Saccharomyces cerevisiae S288C: one gene and its partners. Changing the gene in region 1 together with any one later gene gives a genetic interaction. Each region holds a gene or a part of one and is shown on either strand. Other genes may lie near its edges.

Region 1 (4,103 bases):
ATTTTCTTGGTCCTTAATGTGCTACTGAGGTTACGGCCTACAGCTGGCTATACTGGTCTAAAAGAATTCAACGTTTCTGTTTATGAATGTTTATCAAATGAGAACTGGAAGATCAGAGATATGGCCTCTAGAGTATTGCATATGCTGTCGGAAAATTTTGAAGAAGAGATAAGAAAATTACTTGACTTGGCTTCTATCGCGAAGCAAAACCAGTTACATGGACACTTACTAGCACTCCAACAACTAGTACCACAATACCTTTCAGGAACTAGAGATATGGAGTTGATTCAAAGGATACTTGAAAAGAAAAGGATGCTTCTACTAGAGAACAAGTGCTTTATCACTAAAAAGGCCTACTTAAAATTGACCTGCTGTATATTGGAAACATGCGACATACCTGATTCTATTTTAAAAGATTATATCAGCACTTTGCGGAACACATTTATTGCTGAAAATAACGAATATGTTGTGGATGGTAGCAAACAGCTATATCTTGCACAAATCTTAGACATGCTCTTAAAATATGAGGATAGTATATATCTCGATGATATTTGCTTATTAGGATTGTATTCTCCATTTTATGAGGCTCAGCTCAGTACACTACAGTACATGAATACTAACTTTCACTGGGAAACTACAAGAAACTCAGAATTTCTTGAACAACTACAATTATTACTCAGGGTTCCAGATTTGCTGCCTATGGCTAAAGCTTTAGTAGTGAAAATTCTCTCAAGAAAAAAGAATACTTTATCCCTGACGACCTGCACTGATCTCCTAAAAACAAATAATAGTGAAGATACAAAACTTGCTGCCGTTTCATCACTAAGTGCTAAATTGTCTTCGCAAACCTTTCACCAGGTATGGAACTTGTTACAAGGATTTTTCGCCGATTCTTGTTCAAAAGATTTTAGATTGGCATCTTTAGAATGTTTAACTGCTTATCCAGAAAGTTGTAAGAACTCCAGAATACTATTACAACTGTACAACTTCTTATGGGACGATGATTCTGAAATAAGAGAAAAGGCTTCTTTTTATTTGAATAAGAACTTTATTCAAACTGCAGACTGGGAATATAACAGGAACACCAGTGTGACCGCTCTTATATTCACAAAAAAGTTTGTTGACGTATTCACAAGTTCTGAGGTGGTAGAAGAGTTGTGTTTACAGTTGTTTCAATATCTAAATGAATATGATATGTTTGCTGCCGAAGAATCGGCGAAGAATTGTCTATTTACTATAGAAAAGGATAACCAGTTCATCAACGAACTACAAAAGGCAATGCATATATTAAATATGATAAAATTGACTGGAAGGGATATCTCAAAGTGTTACAAAGACCAGATACATCACCTAAAAAGTGCTCTATTGGAGCACTTCAACACCGAGGATTTTAAAGATTCCCCACTCGGCTGGTGCTCTAATGCTGAAATATTTTCAAGAATAACGCTTTTAAAGGAACTGATTCAACATTATTCTCCTTCTGATTATGAGAATTTTATCAATGTTCTGACTAAACATTCTGTTCATCCCCTAATTATCAGTTATTCCCAATTATAAATAATGAATATGTACAGATATATACTTTGCATATAATCTGATTCATCTCTAACCTACTTGTGGATTTAGTGACGAGATTCATTGTGGAACCTATTACAAAGCATGTCGATTTCTATTCTAAATACAATGATGGAACTTGATTTAATTTCTTTACCGTTGTCATTTTCTTTTGAATTTTTTCCACCTCTTTTTTTGTTGAAAAATGTTCATGGATGGAAAATTAAAGGTGTGCCCTATTACAAAAGCAAGTTGTACCCCTTTACTAACTCTCTAGTCAATTTGAACTATTGTGAAAACGACAGTTGTGCTCACATGATATAACAAAAGTAATACTGACAAATGGCATTCCAAGATCAAGATATATTCATAGTGTTCTCGCATGCCTCCTTATTTCTTAATCAAAATGATTTATTAAGCCTAAGTCTAACATCCAAAAAAATGCATGACATGATTGCAATCCCTCGTCTTTATAGCAATATTCACATAACTAAGAATCCTGTTTTAAGAACAAACAAATGGTTTTTGGACGGGGGAAAAACTTATGTAAGTGGTTATAGATCTGTTCTGAAAACCGGTGACAAGAATGACATATTTTTATATGATAGAATTGAAAGGTTGTTGGAGACATCGCATTTAAAATGTATAAAACAGCTGACTATTGACGAGGATTTGTTTCACAACAGGGAAGAAGGATTGCAACTGTTACAAAGATTGGTCAATGAAATCACTGACTTGGACGTGATTGAAAGTCTTGACATCAAGGATCCTACCTTGTTTGAGTTATGTTCAGCAAAGTATTATCGCCTGTCAAGTTTAAAGAAGAGAGTAGTATATGGCGAAACTGGATTTGATGGTATCAAATTATGGCAAAACTTCAAAAGCTTAAAATGGCAATTACCTGAATCGTTGGATTTGCAAAACGTAATAATCCCTGAAGTGGGTGTAATGTTAATGAAGCAACTTAATGGAGGAGAGTTAGAAATAAAGGACGAAGCGTACTCAAGCCTAAGGGTCTTTGAATACTTTGATTCCCTGAACCTCCGCTTCAAGAATCTGCGCCGTTTGAAGCTTAATCATGTTCACAAACAAGGTGATGGGAGTGCTACTTCTATGAGATTATCTTCACGCGCGTTTAAGGATGTAGTTAATTTATCCAATCTTAAAGCCCTTGAATTAGAATTTTCTTGTGAGGTGGACGACTGTGAATGTGATGATGACTTTCTTCAAGATATAACAGGAAACCTTGTTTCCTTAACAAGTCTGGGGTTCATTGAAAAGACATTCACCAAAAAAGGGTACCATTACATGGACGAGAAATGGGACTTGGTCGTTAATAAGTTTATTTTAAATTTACCAAACGTGAGTAAAGATTTGCGTTTGTTAAGCATACGACATGACCCACCTTTAAATGGCAAGGGCATTGATACTGTTGATGGGAACTTGCTTCGCCGTAAAAAACTTTATGAAAAGGTTTTACCAAAGCTAACTTCGTTGGAAACAATAATAGCTCCAACTGTATTGCAGTCCATCACCTCATATGAAATGTATGCGTGTGACCTTTTGTGGAACGGCTGCAAATGTGCGTTCTGCTCCAAATACTTACCATTATTTGATAAGTACATCATGAATCATCAATACTTTTCGACCCCGGATGCAAGATACTTGGATATTATACCGATAGTGTTTGCAGCATATACTGGAAAATCTCTAGCTAAGAGGTTTGATCCTCAGAAGAACTGGGATTTGGATTTACTACAGTATGCCCCTGAGGATACGACGTGGAATTTCCATGGCTTTGAGAGAATTCATCACTTTGCAAGTTATGAATGTTATTTTGACGAATCCTCATTTGAGCCCTTAGCCACTATTATATCGCATTTTTTTTATCCTTACATGAACTACTTGATAAAGATATTGCCAAACCTTCGCCAAACTATGTTGTCAGGAATATACTTTAGCGTGAGCCCAGAATTACACACTTATGAAACTATTTATGATTAAACTTGATAGTTGTGATAAACATTTCTTATGTACATTTGTTGAAGGAGTTCGTATATATACAGCCAGTTGAGTAATAATTATATTTTACTATTGCATTTCATAATTATTACCCGGACCTTACGAGTTCTTCGAATAATAACCATATATTTCAGAAAGGTAGGCATACCGAAGGAAGAGACAATGAAAAAACTGAAATGAACAAGCTTCTGTATACGATCCAAGGATCAGAAACGGTTGTTATTTATTGTTTGGACTTCTTGTTGTTAGGCTTTATTTACCGTGCATAATACTATCTGATACTTTGAGAAACCCCTCCCCCCACAGAAAGGTTCAAAATTTACAATTGCTGCACTAGGTCTACACTTTCCTCTAGATTTGTAACTTGAAGACCCCATTCCAATCGTTTAACCTGTCTTTCCTTTTATTATCGTTTTATTCTCTTCCTTTTTTATAAAATTCTATCTGGTATAGAGCATTTTTATGTTGATCATAACTTTTCATGTATTCTATTAATTACACCACAACTTTGATATCGTCAAATTTTT
Region 2 (4,310 bases), on another chromosome or scaffold:
TTTAATCGCACAATGCAATGCAAGTTATTTTTTTTTTTTTGATTTAATGACTTTCGATTTCCTCTCATAGGCAACCGGTACTTATCATAAGTACGTAATAAGAAAAGTATGTCGCAGGACGTCATAAGCTCAGACTTGAACAAAAGAGTAACAAAATCGCCTCCACCTAATTTTCAGCCCTACTAGAGCCTGATAGGATATCGGCACTGAAGCTGATAAGAGAATCAATGAAAATATCATCCTCAACAGAAATACTGAAAAGAAGCGGTAGTTTTTTTTTCTTGTTACAATTATCAGCCAAACAAAAACAGTGATCTGAATCGTCAATCAAACATTAGTGGAAGAATGAAATAATCGAAATGACCTCTATATCCTGTACGACCAACAAGCTTAATAGTAGTGTTTCCTGGGACTAAAGAGTGTGTTTAATTATCTCGAATTTTAATACTAGCGAAAGATCTTGAATGAACACTAAGTATGATCATTTTATTAGGTTTTTTGCTCATTAGGCAATTTGTTTTTCACTGGAAGTAGAGGATTCCTTTTCATTATCTTTCTGATGAACAATTTCAAACACTTTTGTGTTTTCTGAACTAGTTTTTGTCAACTCAGGTAGTTCATCATCGGAGCTCTCAGGTTTGTATTCGTGTCCACTTGTGAAGCATTCGCCTAATGTGTAAGCACGGATTTCTTCTTCAGAAATTTCACTGTATGGAACCATGCCCTTCTTCCTTGCTTCTTCGTCGGTAAACGCACCGTAGTAATCTTTGTCATCATGTTTGACAGTAATTTTGAATGGGAAGAGGAGGCATAGTCCCCAATAGACGAAAAAGGAAATCAAAAAGGAGAAGAAAGAATCACCATAGAAAAAATTTATAATACCAGTGTTGTGGAAATAGTCATTATTGACTTCCCAAGCGATACCAGGTAGACCGGGAGCCATACCACACACCCAGGCAACGATAGCTCTCCAGTTGACACCCTTGGTAAAATAGTATTCACCCTTTAGAACAAAGGCATTGGTAACGGAGTATTGTCTCTTCCTGATGAGGAAATTATCACAGATCATGACAGTGATAATAGGTGTCATTACGACACCGAAAGAGCTCATAACAGTCAAGAAAGTAGAAGAAGAGTTGTAAAAGTTCCATGGCAAACAGGCCCAGGAGACGCATGCGGCAAAAATAGCACCTCTCTTAATATCAACATATTTCGGTAATAAACCAGCCAAATCCATACCACTGGCAAACCCACAGTTGGAGATGGTATATGAAATTTGAGACATTACAAAACAAAAACCACAGAAGAATGTAGCTGCACGCGCGCCTGCAGAATAGTTAGTTGTCAACCAGTTGTCAAAGATGTCCATAGGCATCCAAAATGTTTGACCGTATAATTTTTCACAAGCAGAAGCACCAATGATACCGAATACTGGGATCAAGGTTGCTGGTATTAGTAAAGCAACTATAGTACCAGTCCAGATAGCGCAATTAGAGGAACCAAATCTGGAGAAGTCACTTTGATTGGTACAGCCTGGAGAAACAGAACCGTACCAGTACGAGATCGTATAAACCCAAGCCCAAGCCTTTTTAGAGCCAGTAACTGTGGAATGAGTAGAAGTGAACAAGTCACCAACACCATGTGCGCTCTTAGTTAAGTAAATTACCATACCCAACATGGCGAAGAAAGTACCAACACACGACCAAATTAAAATATAGTTCATATGGTATGGCTTCATAAAGTAACAGAACGCGGTAAGGATATGGAAGATAATGAAGCCGATCAATTCCTTGGTGGTCATGGCAACTTTCGAGGACAAAGTATTGGGCAGATGCAAATAGTGGTGAGACCAAGAATCTAATATCATGTTTACACAAAGCCCACCTAACCAAGCGTTGGAACCATAATAGACAATACTCATCAATATTCTGATAATGATACCAAGAGCTGAACCGTAAATCCCAAAGACGAATCTTTGAGCTAGAGTGAAGCCGACCTTCCAGTCATAGCCAGGACAAGAGTTGGCTAAAGCAAACAGGATGGTCAACAAATCAGCAATAATAAACGCACCGATGGTCTCTGAGTAACTTAACCCAACAGTTAATGCAGACGAACCGCCTATCCACATACCAACGTTGAAGGACAGAACACCCCAATACGCAAAATTAGACCAAAACCCCCACGTTTGATTAACAGACTTGATAGGTTGCAAATCAGGGTTCCTTAAAAAATTCACGGAGGCCCTATTTTTAACAGGAATTTCCAAAAATCTCAAAGCCCTGGAGATTCTCGTACCGAAACTCATAATGGTGTAATGCTAGAGTTTTTTTTGCTTGATAGTATATCAGATATGAGAGCAATAGATGATGATACAAGTTCTACAGTGGAAAATAACATGGTACACGCTCTTGGCAACATTGAAATTACAGCTCTCATATATAAAAAATGGAAAGAAAAAAGAGAAGAAAAAAGAGAAGAAATGAATTCTATTATGATAGCGAATGCAAAATATTCGTCCACATTCTTTTATCTATTGTCTTCCTTCTTTCTGTGCAACTACCAGAAAAAGCTATTTCATCTAGTCGAGTAGACTAATTAATGAATTATCTCGTCTTCCATATAAATTAATAAGGCAACCAGCAGGAGACGCCTATTGTTAAGCGTATTACGAAACCTGCGGATCTGTGCGCTATTGTTATGCCAGTGAAGGAGCCTGTCATCATGCACTCATGTGCCCGCGCGCGCGCTTCTGTGACTACAACTTATTGTAGGGCGTAGTACACTGACGCCTAGCGCTCAAAATACACATATGCAGTGTGGCCGACTATGCGATGAAGCGGAACAGTCTATCTTATGTGAATGGTTGCAAAATGCCGTTATATGGATACTACGGTGCGAACACGTATTTATAATAGGATAATCTTGTATCTATTCGTTTTATGCTACTAGTTCTAACCTTTAGGAAGTGTCCTTCACAATATCAGCCCTACATGCAGTGGTCTTCGTAAATCCTGTGAGGTTTTGTCTCATTTCTCTATGCTGGAAGGGCTTCGTAGAAGATTCCGCAAAATAATGGAATTGAAGCCCTGCGCCAAGCAAGCCTCACGAGGATCGTCGGTTCTGAGACGTAACCACGCTCTTGAATCTTGTTTATGTGATCAGCAATGACGTCTTCGGTGGTAATACCATTTCATTCCGGAAAAGATGAGTTTGTAGTCGGTTAGGGAGTACCGTGGCGTCCTTTCCTATTTCTGCAAATTTGCTGTCCATGTTGGCAACTACTCTCAAAGGTGGCAACTGCTTAGTAAATAGCCATATCGCTCAGAGATACATATCAAGAAACTCTAGCCAGATGATCACGAATCCCGAAGCGATGTAATTTTCCGTGAGGCAGTCCTGAATCAGGCCGTAGATTGACTATTAGCATCTCTTTTTGAGTATGCTAAGAAGTAGAGGGCTACCTTATTCCCACACACTTTTTACCACGGGCGAAACATTTATTTTCAAGTCCCAGCACAGTGATGGGATGAAGTCCAGGATGCGTCATACGGTCCTATGGCAAACTTCGGGGAAGGTTTAATATGCTGCTTTCAAGCAGGATTAACGGTAATCAACTCCCTAGGCAAATTGGCTCAACTCTGCCTATCTATCCACTGAGGATTTCAAATCCACCGAATGGGAGAATATGTCAGTGTCCATTTTGGAGTAAGGTATGAGTTCTTTTTTCGTCAGCTTTTCTTCTATATCTTACAATTGCTTATCTTAAACCACCGATATTTTTGCAGTCCCTTCATCATCGAGCACAATGGCCTATACGTTGAAATTTTGGTTTTGGTTTGAAGCCCACTCATCTTGGCATCGCTGACGTGTTTTCTTCCAAGATTTAAAGAGGACTACTCGGTGCAGGTGGACATCTCGAATGAATATGTTACCTAGCTTGATCTCCTCCATCAAATTACAACCTTTTTGCAGTGAATTTTGATACATGGATTTCGGAGCTTAAACACGTATTAACTGAAATTCAGGCATGGCGAGAAAATTCCCATCAGAACTTGAAGAATACTCTAAATACTACTGAGATAAACCGAGAGGTGACGTGAAATTCTTCCCAGATGTTCAATATATTATGAAAAACCATCCAGCTGAATTACCTCATTTGCAGATCAATTTCAAAGGCTTCGGTTCGGGGATAATGAGACATTCTGTCCAAAATGTCCCATTTATTACAGCCTCGGAATTAAGGTGCTTGATACTGTTCTCATAAACATGTGACTGCATTGGTGGTTGATGGAGTAATGATACCACTGAGC
Region 3 (4,594 bases), on another chromosome or scaffold:
GCTTACGGCATTGGAATTCAATATACAACAAAGTCTCAACCCGCGTGGTAAACAATCTAAACTCTTCGTACCCAGACTTATGGTATTATACACTGGTCCATGTATATGGCCCTTTGTTTGCCTTTGATGAGATACTATCTGCGCAAGAGACAAGTTTAGTGATAATTGCTTCTTTGGTTCCACAAGATGTTAATCCTCAATTGCGTGGGCATTTGAAAGGTGCCTTGAATATTGGTTGTGATAAGGAAACTGTGGAGGCAGTGAGAGGATTGGCTATACTAATATCTCAGTGGTGTGGTGTTAGTTGGAAATCTGGTGTTGTAAAATTGTAAGCCCCTTTGCCGATCGGCCACTCGTTATGCTCATAATATATGTACCCTTATTCATTAAAATTAATATATATATATGTATACTAACAACGGAGAAATGCTTGAACTTTTCTATACTTCTATCATTGTATGCAAAATACTAACTCACTTATTTGTCTTCTTTGCCGTTAACCAGATCACTTTCTATTAAACATATCAAATCCAAAAATTGACAAATTTAAACCCTTACCGCCATCGGAATTACTATGCTCTTTACTCTTTTTATCCACCGATATGGGTACTGAGTCTCGTTTATGGCGTAATTCATCATTCATTTCTGAATCTTTTCTTCCATATAACTGCCACCACCATTGGACTTTCTTCAGATCCGGCGAAATCCACTCCACTTTTTCTTCCTCTTCAAGGTTTTGATCGTGCTCATTCATGCCGCTTCTTTTTCTCTGTATGAAATTTGGATTTATGAACTGCTTTCTTCTAGATCTGAAGTAGTCCCAGACACTTTTAGTCTTGTTTGGCAAATTCTGTTGAAATTTCTCCTTCTCGCTATTGGAAAGGAATGTTCCATATTGGCATGAATACAAGTGGTAAACTAGTCTTCTTAAAAATCTTTCGTTGAATTCAAATAGATCTGGGTTTTGCGTCAAAAGTTGGTATACACAGTCTAAAAATTGTTGGAAAACTGGGGAGACGAACTTTAGACTTTTCTTGTTCAATTTAAAGTTTTCGTTAAATTTTTTGGAAATTCTACTCAAATTAATTAAATTCGTCTCATCTTCACCTCCTTCATCATCTTCAGCATAATCGTCTTGAGTGTTAACACCTATGTCAAGATCATCGCCATTGGTATCCACATCGTTGAAGTTGGAATGCATAGTGTTATCATGAAATCTAATATCAGAGTTTAAATGACCACTTCTTTCCAAAAACCGGTGACCAAAAGAGCACCAATCTTTTTCCACTAGGATCATAAAACCTTCAAAAGTTCTATAGAAAGGATCCAAACAAATTTCTAATAGTGATACAACTTGACTGGTTCTGTCCCAACCGTCAGAACAATGAACCAAAACGTTGGAATGATTGAAAATGATGGACTTTAAAAGCATATCAACGGATTTTAAAATAAGAGTGTTCAACTTCAACCAATTGGAAAATTTTTGACTCCTAATTAAATTCTGTTCCAGTGGTAAATTCAAATCGCCACCTTGGCAGATAACTTCCGTCATGTATGCAGCTGTGTTGGAAACAATATGAATGTTATCTATACCAAGAAATAACCGTGTAACTGTGGGCAGTTTTAGACTTTTATCGACACCCATATTGTTATCAGCTAAAAAAAAATTATAATTATCCATATTTTCTGTCCCGCCACCCAACGCCATCTGTGCTAATGCATTTGTTCTGGGTCTGGCATCTACTATTACATGTTTCGTTCTTCTAATATCTTTATTACAAAATGAGTTGAAGCTTTCCCAAACTAATTTTTCATCTTGAATGGACCTCTGATTGATCAACCCCGGTAATGGTTGAGATGACCTAAGAATGTTGCAATCTGTTGCCTTGTGATGATAAGTTAAAACAGGAATTCTTTTCTGTGATCTAAACTTCGAAGCATGCTTCAATAATATATCTGACGTGGATCTTGGTACAAAAAGTTTTGAGGGATACGTTGGACAAAATTCATAGTGTTCGTTTACCGTGGATAGCCTCCAAGGACATGTTTCATCTTTACTGTCGAGGCCCTGCCTTCGAAATTCCTTAATTGGGTCATATATATCCCAGCTATCGGGTGAAGGTAGTTTCCTTTCCAGATTGTTGGATATGTAAATAAATGCATATAGTTGCGTGATATTGGACAGGACCGTCAAATTTAAGATGGAATCATACACCTTTCTTGCCTGTAGATGTAAATCACCACCGAAATCCAATGAGAATACCGCATAATCTTTCCCAATTACCTTGATATTTACAAAAGACCATAGATCCTTACCCTGGTAAAGCTTGTAATTCTGTGAATCCGTTCCCTCCAATTGGATTTGATTAGTGGAAGTCAACTTGGACAGTAATGTACTACCCGGGTTTTTATGCACTCCATAGATCAAAGGATATGGAAACCAAAATTCCGTCGACAATTGTGGTGACTCAAAGATCAAATGGTGAGTAGTCAAATGTAAAGTACCTTGTGTGGCCGTACCTCTTCTATGCAGCACTACATTAGATACTTTGGCAATCTTGATGTACTCCATCTTTGCGGAATGGTATACTATTTCTTTTCCCTCTTTTTAGCACTATTACACCCCGCCCACAAAATAAAAATAATAACGACGACCTAATCTCACCAAGTGACCCTTGTAAAACCTCCTTTTCTTTATAATGTTTCTTTTCTTACTAATATTTGGTACATTTAGGGTAGTGATAAAAGAATGGCAACATTGTTATTATTGTGAAAAATGAGGAAAATAGAAAATCAGAAACCCTAAAAAGTGATTTTACCCTATCAGAAATATTCAAATGTCCTAATTAAAAATAGTAAATCCCCTAAACATTCAGATTGTAAACTAGGGTTGAGAAAATGACTCATCCACCACTGTCTTCTTTCCTGCGGCATTCTATAGATTATTGTGAATGACTCTTATTGATGAGATGGCAATAACTTTTGAATATCAGAGATAGGAACCTCCATGTCGTAACGATTGTGTCACCTTGAGTAAGCATCGAGAAAATCCAATCTTTTTTTTTCCGTCATAAGCATTTCTGCCATGCTATTTGTATATATATAATTACTAATACGTCTTCTATAGTATGCCTTATCTCTTTTTTGAAGCGCTATTTAAGTTTAAGCATCGAAAAACTAACATCTATAGTTAAAATTAGTTCTATAAAGGAAGAGCAATACAGTACATAGACAGGAAGAAAAGAATGACATCGATTTATACATCAACAGAGCCTACGAATTCTGCTTTTACTACCGAGGACTACAAACCTCAATTAGTTGAAGGAGTAAATTCTGTACTTGTCATTGGATCAGGAGGGCTCTCTATTGGTCAAGCTGGTGAATTCGATTACAGTGGTTCTCAAGCTATCAAAGCTCTGAAGGAAGATAACAAGTTTACTATATTGGTTAACCCAAATATCGCTACTAACCAGACTTCTCATTCCCTGGCGGACAAGATTTATTACTTGCCCGTTACACCAGAATACATCACATATATCATTGAACTTGAAAGGCCGGATGCTATACTTTTAACCTTCGGTGGTCAAACAGGTCTAAATTGTGGGGTGGCTCTGGATGAATCTGGTGTTTTGGCTAAATACAACGTCAAAGTTTTAGGTACTCCTATCAAAACTTTGATCACTTCTGAAGATAGGGATCTTTTCGCATCTGCGTTAAAGGATATCAACATTCCCATCGCAGAATCATTTGCTTGTGAAACCGTGGATGAAGCTTTGGAGGCTGCTGAAAGGGTCAAATACCCAGTTATTGTCAGATCTGCATACGCTTTGGGTGGGTTAGGCTCAGGTTTCGCTAACAATGCAAGTGAAATGAAGGAACTTGCCGCACAGTCCTTGTCGTTGGCCCCACAAATTCTTGTTGAAAAATCTTTGAAAGGTTGGAAAGAAGTTGAATATGAAGTGGTCAGAGATAGGGTTGGTAACTGTATTACAGTATGTAATATGGAAAATTTCGACCCACTTGGTGTTCATACTGGTGATTCTATGGTTTTTGCTCCTTCGCAGACCCTATCAGATGAAGAGTTTCATATGTTAAGATCCGCCGCAATTAAAATCATTAGACACCTTGGTGTTATTGGTGAATGTAATGTCCAATACGCTTTGCAACCTGATGGGCTAGACTATAGAGTTATTGAAGTGAACGCACGTTTATCTCGTTCCTCTGCATTGGCGTCTAAGGCCACTGGTTATCCCTTAGCATACACTGCCGCCAAAATTGGGCTAGGCTATACTTTGCCAGAATTGCCAAACCCAATCACAAAAACTACAGTGGCTAACTTTGAGCCATCTTTGGATTATATTGTGGCAAAAATACCTAAGTGGGATCTTTCTAAGTTCCAATACGTGGACAGATCCATTGGTTCCTCTATGAAATCAGTTGGAGAAGTTATGGCTATTGGTAGAAACTATGAAGAAGCCTTTCAAAAAGCATTAAGACAGGTGGATCCATCATTATTGGGATTCCAAGGTTCTACTGAATTCGGCGATCAACTTGATGAAGCCTTGAGAACTCCAACTGATAGAAGAGTCCTTGC

Evidence for each region.
Region 2: mutations in ROY1 (region 1) and THI72 together harm fitness more than expected from each alone (negative genetic interaction), as found in Saccharomyces cerevisiae (2 studies listed by BioGRID).
Region 3: of ROY1 (region 1) and YMR1, extra expression of one rescues a mutant of the other (dosage rescue), as found in Saccharomyces cerevisiae (one study listed by BioGRID).

Annotation. Positions count from the first base shown.
Region 1 is NC_001145.3:782,075-786,177, reverse strand, and holds ROY1 (Roy1p), read left to right. Parts: upstream 1-1,896; coding exon 1,897-3,558; downstream 3,559-4,103. Other genes in the region: tRNA methylation protein TRM732, read left to right, coding at 1-1,557. UniProt on the Saccharomyces cerevisiae protein: Non-SCF-type F-box protein involved in the endocytic with the vacuolar sorting pathway. Acts as a repressor of YPT52 by inhibiting the formation of active, GTP-bound, YPT52. Involved in the defense mechanism against methylmercury toxicity.
Region 2 is NC_001147.6:698,263-702,572, forward strand, and holds THI72 (thiamine transporter), read right to left. Parts: upstream 2,306-4,310; coding exon 506-2,305; downstream 1-505. UniProt on the Saccharomyces cerevisiae protein: Low affinity thiamine transporter responsible for intake of thiamine. It is possible that the primary function is the uptake of closely related compounds and that thiamine transport is a secondary activity of these proteins.
Region 3 is NC_001142.9:631,593-636,186, reverse strand, and holds YMR1 (phosphatidylinositol-3-phosphatase YMR1), read right to left. Parts: upstream 2,573-4,594; coding exon 506-2,572; downstream 1-505. Other genes in the region: PXP2 (Pxp2p), read left to right, coding at 1-332; carbamoyl-phosphate synthase (glutamine-hydrolyzing) CPA2, read left to right, coding at 3,246-4,594. UniProt on the Saccharomyces cerevisiae protein: Lipid phosphatase which dephosphorylates phosphatidylinositol 3-monophosphate (PI3P). Involved in the control of PI3P-dependent signaling and in the maintenance of endosomal system integrity.